Linked DNA regions of Oryctolagus cuniculus. The protein of the gene in region 2 purifies or fractionates together with the protein of the main gene of each other region. This does not show direct contact. Links are inferred from orthologs where the notes say so. Each region holds a gene or a part of one and is shown on either strand. Other genes may lie near its edges.

Region 1 (3,745 bases), on a different chromosome or scaffold from region 2:
CCATTATTAAAAATTAGTGCTATTTTGCTCTTCTGTTTTTTATATCAAGTCTTCAAAATCTAGTGTGTATTTTACATTTATGGCACATCTCCATTGGAACCATCTTGGGGTTGCCATTGTGGCACAGCGGGTAAAGCCACCACCTGTGACACTGGCCTCCTATATGGACTCCGGTTTGATTTACAGCTGCTCCACTTCCAATCTAGCTCCCTGCTAACAACCCAAGAGCTTGGGCCCCTGCACCCATGTAGACTCTCAGAAACCCCTGGCTCTAGCCCAGTTCAACCCTGGCTGGTACGGTCATCCAGGAAGTGAACCAGGAAGTGAACCAGCAGGTGGAAGACAGCTCTGTAACTCTTTCAAACAAATCAACAAGAACTAACTACATCTCAAGCCCAACAGCTACAGGCAGCTACTGTAGTAGCGCAGGCCTACCCTCCACAATGGGTGCTTGAGCAGTAACCACTGGGCTCCTGCCTCTTCTCGGGGGCAGGGTGGGCCCACTCTAGTTTCCTGGGCATGTTTTGCTGTGTTTTGCTGGCATCACCAACCAGTCAGTCTCCCACACTGAAACCCCGAGTCCCTCCTTGCGGAAGCTGGCGGTCACCAGCTGAATCCCACTTGACCCTAGTCCGACATCCTTTAATGTCCTACCTCAACAGAGGCCCTCATTGCCTTACCTGGAAGACTGTAACTTACTCGCCCGTTTTCCTGTTCCAGGCTGAACCTCCATAGCTGCCAGAGACCATCCTAAAAAGCAAATAACCTCACTTCCACTCCTGGTGCGAGGCACTCACTGGCTTCCTGCTAACTGCTGAAAAAAATCTAAACTCCTTGGTTGGAAATCAAGGCCCTGCACAAGCTGATCTCAACCTGCCTCTTGCTTTGCCAGCCACCTGGCACAGCACACACACACTCCCTAAATACGCCAAATATTCTCAAGTCTGCATCCCTGAGCTAAATCCAGAAATGACCTTCTGAGCTTAGCAAATTTCTTTTACTCTTTTGTGGCCAAGTTCAAACAATGAGTAATTCATGGAGCTTGGTTATTGTTACTTTGAGACAAAGGGACTATTGTTGAATGCATAAAGGCATCACCTTTGTATTTCCAATGCCAGGCACAGTGCTCAAAGCAAATACAAATGTGTCCTGAGAGAGGGATGAACCCTCACACTTGGAAGCTCCCCCAGGGCGGGGACCTGACAGCGACTCTGGGTCTCTATCACTGTTATGTGGGCTCTCAGTAGGGACCAGGCAGGTTGGTGGCGGCTATGGATGTGTGCAGGATCCAAGAGAAAACGGAGATGGGGCCGAAGCTGCAGCACAGACGGTAAAGTCTCCTCCTGCAGTGGGGGCAGCCCATCAGGGCACCAGTTTGTGTCCTGGCTGCTCCACTTCCAATCCAGCTCTCTGCTATGGCCTGGGAAAGCAGTGGAAGATGCCCAAGTCCTTGGGCCTCTGCACCCACGTGGGAGACCCGGAAGAAGCTCCTGGCCTCAGATCGGTCCAGCTCCGGTTGTTAAAGCCATTTGGTGGTGAACCAGAGGATGGAAGACCTCTGTCTTTCCCTCTCTCTCAAATAATAAATCTTAAAAAAAAAAAAAAAAAAAAAAGAGAGAGAGAGAGAGAGAAGAAAAGAAAGAAACGAGACAGTAAGCCATGGAGTGCAACGCCTCTTCCTGGTCAGTGCAGGGCGAGCGGCGGCTTCATCCCAGGGGACAGGACTCGAACACAAGTGAGGGCTGGCTCAGGGTCGCCTGGTCACAGGAGCCCAGACGTGCGGGGGCCACAGCCCCTCGGACGCCTCGTTTTCTGAGGGCCTTGTCAACAGAGAGAAAGAGGTCCCGGGAAAGGCGGCAGCGAAGGTGCAGGCGCCCGGGGCGAGCCGCGCGCCACCGCCGTCTGCGAGCACACCTGCTCTGCGCCCTAGGCTCGGCGGCCTCGTGGCCCTTCGGCCCAACGCCGCGGGAAGGCCCTGAGCCGAGGGGCTGCGAACGGCGCGCGCCCGAGCCCCGAGGCCCAGGAGCCAAAGCTGGCGTCAGGCGAACTCCTCCGGCGCCGAGAGGCCCCAAGGACCGAGGGAAGCCGAGCGGGACGGCGGCGGACCCGACAGGCCGGCGCGGAAGACCCGGGAGCGCTACAGCCGTAGGCAAGGCGCTGCTGCTCCTCCGTCCTTGTGCCGGGAACCACCGGACAGCCGCATCGGAAGCCGCGGGAGCTCGTCCTCGGAGGAGCCGGGTCCTAGCTGCAGCCCTGTTGCCCCGGCGCGCTTAGGACGCCTCCTCCCCCATCCAAAGACTCATGCCTTTCTCCCGCCCTCACTTGCCTCGTCAGGCCTCCCCCAACGGCGTCCACTAGGGCCCTGCCCAACCCCTAGTCGGATCCAGGCTCAAGAGGGACAAAAGCAGACGTTCGCTCAGCTGCAACCCCGACGCCCGGCCAGCAAGAGCCCCGCAGTGGCGGCCGCCATTTTGAAACCGGAGGCGCGGAGCCGAGGGGGAAGATCCAGGGTGATACCACCCGGGCCGGGGAGGGGGGGAGTCGAAGCCGTGGGAAGGCGGTGGCGCCGACGCCGACAGATCACGTCACCTCGGGCCGAAGTTCCGTCAGAAATTATGGTTGGTGTCCGAAAGCTTTAGAAAAGTAACAAAGAATCACGCCCAGAAAGGAAGGCGAGGTATGTGTCGCCGGCCGCCACCCCTCTCCTCCGTCCGCGCGCGGCGAATGGCACGTCCCGAGGTCGCAGCTTCCGCCGGCGCCGCTGGCTGTGCGGGTCGCTGCCCTTGGCGGTGGGTCGTGCTGGGCGCCGGCGCCGCAGGTGGGTGCGGGTGCGGGTGCGGGGGTCCCGGGGGGCGCGGTTCCGCCGAGCCGGGTGGAGCGGGTGCGGCGGGTTCTAGGAAAGCCTCGGCGGTGGTCCGTGCTCGCGGTCGGGTGGCCTGGGCCTTCCCGGCGCCTCCGAGCCAAGGTGACGGAAAAGGAGAGGGGATAGGGCTTTTGAGGGGACGACAGGCTTCGTCCGCGGCTGTCGTGACTGGGAAATGTCTTTAGCGGGGGCCCGGTGGCCGCCCCGCTGCTGGACGCGGGGACACCGGCGGGACCGCATGCGGGGGCCCGCGGAAGTGCGTGACGGCCGCTTGGCCTGTGTGTCCCGGGCGGCCGAGGCTCAGCGCTCCGTCTGCTCGCCTGCCTCGCTCCCTTCTGCTTCTTAAAGCCTTAGGTGTGTCACGTTCGTGCTCGGTTGCTAAGGTGCGTGTCCTTCCGTGCCCCAGGAGCTCAGTTCCTCCATGCACTCAGCACTTTGCATTGGTAAATTGAAACTTTCTGGGCAAAACACAGGGTGTATATATATATATATATATATATATTTGTATGTATATGTATATTTGTATATATATGTGTGCATCAAGAGTTTGAAGTGATTTAAAAAACAAGAGACAACGATGCCAGGTGGTTTTTTTTTTTTTTTTTTTTTTTTTTAAGATTTTATGTATTTATTTGAGAGGTAGAGTTAAGACAGTGCAAGGGAGAGACAGAAAGAGGTCTTCCATCTGCTGGTTCACCCCCCAAATGGCCACTACAGCCGGAGCTGTGCTGATTAGGAGCCAGGTGCTTCTCCTGGTCTCCCACACGGGTGCAGAGGCCCAAGCACTTGGGCCATCCTCCACTGCCCTCCCGGGCCACAGCAGAGAGCTGGGCTGGAAGAGGGGCAGCCAGGACGGGAACCGGCGCCCATATGGGATGCTGG
Region 2 (3,645 bases):
CGGCTCACTAGGCTAATCCTCCGCCTAGCGGCACCGGCACACCAGGTTCTAGTCCCGGTCGGGGCACCGGATTCTGTCCCGGTTGCCCCTCTTCCAGGGCAGCTCTCTGCTGTGGCCAGGGAGTGCAGTGGAGGATGGCCCAAGTGCTTGGGCCCTGCACCCCATGGGAGACCAGGAGAAGCACCTGGCACCTGGCTTCGGATCAGCGCAGTGCGCCAGCCGCGGCGGCCATTGGAGGGTGAACCAACGGCAAAGGAAGACCTTTCTCTCTGTCTCTCTCTCTCACTGTCCACTCTGCCTGTCAAAAAATAAAATAAATAAATAAATAAATAAACAAAATAAAAAAAAAAAAAAGAAAGAAAGAAAGAAAAAGAAACTCCTGGCTCCTGACTAGCCCAGCTCTGGCCATGGTGGCCACCTGGGGAGTGAACCAGTGGACAGATCTTTCTTTCTTTGTAACTCTTTCAAATCAATCAATCAATCAACCTTAAAACAAACAAACAAACATTAACTTCCAAGAGCAAGGCGGACATTGTCTGAGGTCCCCCTGTCAGCAAGCGGCAGGATCAGGCCTCAGGAGCAGGCACGTCTGAACCCAAACACTCGCGAGGACCTCCCAGTGCGCGCTCCCCGCCGGTGCACACGAGGGTGCCTGTGGCTCCCGGCACGGCAGGGCGGAGTTGCAGCCACTGTGGGCTTCACGGAGGCGGAATCAGCTGTGCATGGCGGGCTGGGCGCTACAGCACTTGGCCGGACCAGAGGGAAGCCTTGGGGAGGGGCTGAGGACCAGGCACACACCTGGGCCGCCCCACTGCAGGCCACGGCCTTCTCGGCCCGCAGGATCCGCTTCACAGCACTCAGCTTCATGGCCTCAACCTGGGCGTCGGTCAGGGGCTTCAGCACGTCGCTTAGACGGAAGATTTTCTTACGCCCGCCGGCGCCCGCCAGCCTATGGGAGAGCAGGGACAGGGACAGCGTCGCAGCGGTCTCTGCACCCAGGGCTGGCTTCAGGCTGGCCACTGCCCACTTCGAGGACATGGCCGGCCTACAGTCGCCTGTCCTCTCGGCCCCACTCTGTCTCTCTGAACCCAACGAGCCTGAGGCCTGCCAGCCAGAGCGCTCGTTAGGAAGTGAGGACCAGGACGTGGTGATGCACCCGTGAGGGTGCTGTGAGCGAGCGGGGACAGCTCTCGGCACACTCAGCGCTCACACTCACACTCACCACACTCACTCACCACTCACCACACTCAGCGCTCACACTCACCACACTCAGCGCTCACACTCACCAGTCACACTCACCACACTCACCACTCACACTCACTCTCACCACACTTAGCACTCACACTCATCAGTCACACTCACCACACTCACCACTCACACTCACCACAGTCACACTCACACTCACCACACTCTACACTCACACTCACACAGGCCAGCAAGCACGCAGAGTGCTCTCCGGTCCCCATCACTGTGAACCCCAAGAGCTACCCACTTTGGCTGTCTGGCCCCCGGGAGGAAGACACTATTATCCTCCCAATTTCAGACACACAAGAGGGGAAACCACAGGCTCGATGGCTAAGGCATCGACTGGAACTGGAGAGCCTGGCTGACCTGGCTGAGGCCTTGTCCTGTCTGAACATCGCCCACCGTGCACACGCACTTGCACACTATGGGCCGGGCCCAGCTGCAAGGACTCACCGAGGCTGCGTCACAGGGATGATGGGCTCCGGCCTCCTCTTGGCCTGGGGCACCTCCTCCTCCAGGGGGGACATGGCGCTCAGGGACCCCACCACCGAGATGGCTTGGCCCTGAGCAGACAGGCGCCGCTTGATCAGGACGCTCTCTGGCTTCACCACCTTCTCCTCCTTGGGCTCCTCCTTGCACTGCTTGGTCTGCTCCACGCCTGAGGGAGGCGGCACACGGTGCTCGCGCGCCAGGCCTGCCCACCCCATCCAAGGCCCTCCTGTGTGCCCAGCTCTAGTCCAAGCCTAGTCTGTAAGTTACTGCACATTTTATAAAGCACGAGTAGAAGGGATTTTGGGGACTCATACTGTGGTGCGCGTGTTAAGCTGCCACCTGCATCTTAGCATCCCATATGGGCACCAGTTCAAGTCCCAGCTGTTCCACTTCCGATCCAGCTTCCTGCTGGTGCCCCTGGGAAGGCAGCGGAAGATGGCCCAAGTGCTTGGGCCCCTGCACCCACGTGGGAGACCCAGATGGAGGTCCAAGCTCCTGGTTTTGGCCTCGCCTAGTCCCTGCCATTGTAGCCATTTGAGGAGTGAACCAATGGGTGGAAGATCTGTCTCTCCCTCTCTGCAATTCTTTCAAATAAATAAATAAACCTTTAAAGACAGAGGAGAGGAGAGGAGAGGAGAGAGGTGGGGAGGGGAGGGGAGGGGAGGGCTTGGAAACTCCCCACCCAATGCTCAAGGAGCTGGAAACACAGGTCACCCTGACTTGATCACTCCATGCTGAGCACATGCAGATCATCACACTGTACCTTACAGACGTGTCATTATTATGTCAACTAAAAATAACCAACAACGCGTAAAGAAGCCTGATTTCCTGTGATCCCACTTACAAGGTACTTCCACAGTTCATGGAAAATGAAGTTAAACGGTAAACTTATTTTGGTACAAAAAAGTCTGAAATCCATTTATAGCTGTTTCCATGAACTTTCTGAAGACTGCTCTTCTACGAAGCTCAAGAACAGGCAGAGCTGAGCTCGGGGCAGAAGTGAGCACGGCGTTTCTCTGTGGGGTTGCCCCGGGTGCTGTCTGGGGGCGGTTCTCTGTGGGGGTGCCCCGGGTGCTGTCTGGGGGCGGTTCTCTGTGGGGGTGCCCCGGGTGCTGTCTGGGGGCGGTTATCTGTGGGGGTGCCCCGGGTGCTGTCTGGGGGCGGTTCTCTGTGGGGGTGCCCCGGGTGCTGTCTGGGGGCGGTTATCTGTGGGGGTGCCCCGGGTGCTGTCTGGGGGCGGTTATCTGTGGGGGTGCCCCGGGTGCTGTCTGGGGGCGGTTATCTGTGGGGGTGCCCCGGGTGCTGTCTGGGGGCGGTTATCTGTGGGGGTGCCCCGGGTGCTGTCTGGGGGTGGTTATCTGTGGGGGTGCCCCGAGTGCTGTCTGGGGGTGGTTATCTGTGGGGGTGCCCCGGGTGCTGTCTGGGAAGCAGCGAGGAGGGGCCCCTCCCTTGGCCGGGGGGTTCACTCTAGAAACTCTGAGGTGCTGTGCGCTCCGCTGACTCAGTCGCGCTGTCAGCGCGGGGAAGACACTGAGGCTGAGACGCTGGGTGACCTGACCAACGCCACGGTGAGCAGGTGGAGCAGGCCGTCTGGTTTAACTCAGACCTAAACACAGGGCCTGAAAACCATCACTCACGCACTGGCCTTCACGTGACTTTCACGCGCACCACCAGCAGGGGGTGCTCTCGCAGCGAGTGGAGTGTCAAGTCAAGTGCCACTCACCAGGCCCCAGTCCTGCGGCCGTCATCTGTGTGGCCATGAGCCGAGCCAGGTGCTTGATCTGGGCTTCGGTGCCGGCTGACTCCACGGGGGTGTAGATGGCTTGGAAGGAGGCGGGCATGGCCTCAGGCAGGTACACCATGCTGATGAGGACCTGTGGGTGCCCGGAAGAAGAGCCTCTCTTAACT
Region 3 (3,745 bases), on a different chromosome or scaffold from region 2:
CTCCTCGCTTTGGATTGGCCCAGCTCCAGCCATTGCAGTCATTTGGGGAAAGGATCAGCAGATGGAAGATCTCTCTCTCTCTCTCTCTCTCTCTGTGACTCTGCCTTTCAAATAAATAAATAAATATTTTAAAAAGTAAAGCTATGCATGGATTTCAAAAAATTTGGGGCACCAAAATGAACTTATCTTTTAATTTCATTTTCCCAAGAACTGTTTGAAGTACCCTGGTATATTTGGCCATATGTGTACTTAGCAAAAGTTCACCATACTGGGAACAACAACTCATACCAAAACTCTTTGAAACCGGCATTACAGAGCTGTAAATCTTGTTTGGGACTATTCTATTTCACAAGGTGTTCTTTTGGTCACATAGTGATTCCATAAGGAAATTGAGTCATGGGAGTGAAAACTTTCTATCTTCCAAAATTTTATATATTTGCCAGAATTACTTCTTGAAATGACATGTTCAATGTGTAATGCAGCACTTATTCACCTTTTAAAATACTTCTCATTTTGCAAGCAAGCACACTTCTAATACATGTGCAGCAAACACGTCAAATTCTGTGGCTATTTTACTGCCTCTGTTTTTCGGGAGACAGCAAGTTCTCTCTGGATCGTGCTCTTCGCTCCTCGTTTTTTCCTCCTCTAGCTCTGTACTTTTCGGGTACCTTCCTCTGGGTTTCCTCCAACCCGGGCAGGGTCTGCCTTTCTGGGAGTTAGCATCTCGCCTTTGCAGCACACCGTATCCCAGGAACGCAGGCACCCAGAGTGTGTTATCACCGCTCCATGTTTTCTGTTGTTTGCAATACTCTGCCTGTCAATATCCCCTGCGACACCGCCCCTCCAACCTAGCACATGGACCCTAGGGTTACGTCTGTTCTTTCCATAAAATCGCCACTCCTTTTAGAGTAGACTTAGAGCGCCGCTCGTTCTCCCATTCTCTTGACTGGCGCGCCTTTCTTTCCCCCACCTCACTCCGTACACCCAGTTTTAGCAAAATATAATGGCCCGAAAGAGGGCGGCACTAAAATGAAGTTATTCGTTACCACGGTAACTGCCGCCGCCATCTTCGCGGTGGTCGACCAGTATTTCTGTCAGCCTTAAAGAAAATAAACCAAAAAGAATTTCGCAGACTAAAAACTTTTAGTTTAACCTCCCCTACACGAATCCTACTCCGGAAAGAGTTATTCTCAGGCTGCAGCCACCCCACAGCTTTAGTTCTCGCTTGGACGTGCCGAGCGACAGAAGCTGACGGAATGACGCTAGGGGGCGGAGCCCTGCGTCCGCCACGCCCAGGCGCTCTCTGCTCACGCGCCGTAGGGAAGCGTGGTCGGTGCTGGGCACGCGCGCTGTACGGAAGTGTGCTTAGGTGCACCGGAAGCCGCAGGAAGAGAGCGATGGCGGGTTTGACTGTTAGAGACCCTGCGGTGGATCGTTCTCTACGTTCTGTATTTGGTGAGAGGAATTTGATTGAGCCAAACGTCGGGGAGGGACGCTCCCCCGGCACCCCCACCCTTCTTGAATCGCCACTGGAGCTGTGGCGCTCTACCTATTCTGTGGGGCGGCCAACTGGTGGACTCGTGGGCAGAGATGCGCCCCTTTTCCTGAGGTTTCACAGGCTTTGCGCGGTATCATTGAGGAAGTTAGACTTACGTTCAGCTTTTATGCGTTTCTCCTTTTCGGAGCTTCAATTATTGTCTGAAAGAGAGGGCTCATGGCTACAGCCCGTTGCTGTCCCATAGTACTTCTCACCCCCGTCCCAGAATATAGATTATATGCTGAGTGTACAGATACCTGTGTCCACTTCCCCGTCCTCTAAAGAATTTTCATTCTTTGCTTCTTCCCTGTAACGTTTTAGTGCAACCAGCCACCTGTGGTCCTGAAATGGATTCTAAGTAAATGAATGAATAACAATTAAAATCGCCTCAGAGGAATTTTAAAGAGGACCAAAACTATTCTGAGTAATTTTCTTCGACTGGAATAAGTTGTTTAAAAAAAAAAAAAACACGTGTAATAATTTTTAAAGCACGTTTTGAAAGAGGCAATGACAAAACAGTTTTTAAACATCCTCTGTTAGAATCGTGGTCATTCTTCCTTAAGGGCGTTTATGTGTGAAAATACTTACATATGAAACTGTTTTTTAAATTGTATATAAATATTTTAGTAGCTATTGACGAGACTTGCAGAACTTCAGGTAAATACCAAAGCCTAAATAGTAACTTTCACCAACAGTTAAGGAAAAATCTAACACTGGGCAGATCTGTGAGCTTACATTCATCAGTATCTATACCTTTTGCATTTAGTCTCACTGGTTGATTCACTTGTTAAGAGGCCTGAAAAAGTGCAGTGGAATTGGGAGTTGGAGAACACTATTTTGAGACAGATGTTAAATAGTCAGTGACATAAGTAGACACTGTGCTTTTTCACTAAAGGTCTGCATACTCTGAATTTTAGTATTACCTGTTTTCTTCCCTAGTGGGAAACATTCCTTATGAAGCTACTGAAGAACAATTAAAGGACATCTTTTCTGAGGTTGGACCTGTTGTTAGTTTTAGGTGAGACTTCCTTTTACTTCTTATGAGAATTTCTTAAAAATCCCAGCAAATCTGACTTTTAGTAATAATAGTAGGGTTTTTTGTTTGTTTTTCAAACTGGTAACTTTCCACATGCATTTTATTTCTTAGCAACTTTATCAATATATAACTAACTATATAATTCACATTCATTCTTACCTAAAAGGTGCTTTTTTTTTTTCTTAAAAAATGTTTTAAGAGGGGGCCAACATTGTGGTGCAGTGGGTTAAGCCACTGCTTGCAACACTGGTATCCCATTTTGGAGTGCTGGTTTGAGTCCTGGCTGCTCTGCTTCCTGCTAATGTACCTGGGAATGCAGTAGAAGATGACCCCTGCCACCTGTGTGGGAGACCAGGATGGAGTTTCTGGCTTTTTCCTGGCCCAGATCTGACTATTAAGGCCATTTGGGGAGTGAACCAGTGGATAGAAAATCTCTTTCTTCCTGTCTGTCACTCTGCCTTTCAAATAAATAAATAAATAAAATTTTTAAAAATACTGTAATGAGAGTTACAAGGTTATTTAAAGTGAGCTGAATCAGAGCATGTCAATATTAGCAGAAATACTGCATGTTTCTGATACCTGCTTCTGCTCTCTAGATTGGTATATGATAGGGAAACAGGAAAGCCAAAGGGTTATGGCTTCTGTGAATACCAAGACCAAGAGACAGCACTTAGTGCCATGCGGAACCTGAATGGACGTGAATTCAGTGGGAGAGCACTTCGAGTGGACAATGCAGCCAGTGAAAAGAACAAAGAAGAGTTAAAGAGTGAGTATAAACCCAAATTGTATACAATAAGAGTTATGAATAATATAACAATACAAATATTCTGTTAATCATATGTTTTAGAATATTTTGAAATGGTTAGACATACAGTTTCTTAATCTACCAAGGTGCCTCAGTTAGGGAAGTATGTCTTTTGAGAAAAAAAGGTAAAATTGACTTTAGAAACCCTTTAGTTGCCAAGGAGTTTATTTTGAGTTAAAGAGGAGTTCAGGTTCACCAAGCTACTAGTAGTGCTAAGCGTGTCATAGTAATAGATCCAGGAATTCTGTTTTGAAATAAGCATCTTTTTCTATTTAAACCTTTTGTTTCTGAGATGACTTGTGAAGAGAAGTCAATATACCTAGTTCTCTAACTTTTGTCCATCTATGTGTTCGTGGCCCCAGCTTTC

Evidence for each region. Proteins that work in one complex are often made in the same cells at the same time.
Region 1: the proteins of SYMPK (region 2) and CPSF2 purify together in Homo sapiens (co-immunoprecipitation; 8 studies listed by BioGRID and IntAct, with this or other methods). This does not show direct contact. The link is inferred for Oryctolagus cuniculus from reciprocal best matches to the Homo sapiens genes SYMPK and CPSF2.
Region 3: the proteins of SYMPK (region 2) and CSTF2 purify together in Homo sapiens (affinity purification with mass spectrometry; 4 studies listed by BioGRID and IntAct, with this or other methods). This does not show direct contact. The link is inferred for Oryctolagus cuniculus from reciprocal best matches to the Homo sapiens genes SYMPK and CSTF2.

What each region holds. Positions count from the first base shown.
Region 1 is NC_091451.1:37,371,202-37,374,946, reverse strand, and holds the start of CPSF2 (cleavage and polyadenylation specificity factor subunit 2), read right to left. Parts: upstream 2,467-3,745; 5' UTR 2,327-2,466; intron 703-2,326; exon of another isoform or gene 681-702; intron 1-680. UniProt on the Homo sapiens protein: Component of the cleavage and polyadenylation specificity factor (CPSF) complex that play a key role in pre-mRNA 3'-end formation, recognizing the AAUAAA signal sequence and interacting with poly(A) polymerase and other factors to bring about cleavage and poly(A) addition.
Region 2 is NC_091449.1:11,193,075-11,196,719, reverse strand, and holds part of SYMPK (symplekin), read right to left. Parts: intron 3,612-3,645; coding exon 3,461-3,611; intron 1,904-3,460; coding exon 1,699-1,903; intron 950-1,698; coding exon 799-949; intron 1-798. UniProt on the Homo sapiens protein: Scaffold protein that functions as a component of a multimolecular complex involved in histone mRNA 3'-end processing. Specific component of the tight junction (TJ) plaque, but might not be an exclusively junctional component. May have a house-keeping rule.
Region 3 is NC_091453.1:91,889,212-91,892,956, reverse strand, and holds the start of CSTF2 (cleavage stimulation factor subunit 2), read left to right. Parts: upstream 1-1,283; 5' UTR 1,284-1,397; coding exon 1,398-1,455; intron 1,456-2,476; coding exon 2,477-2,555; intron 2,556-3,169; coding exon 3,170-3,339; intron 3,340-3,745. UniProt on the Homo sapiens protein: One of the multiple factors required for polyadenylation and 3'-end cleavage of mammalian pre-mRNAs. This subunit is directly involved in the binding to pre-mRNAs.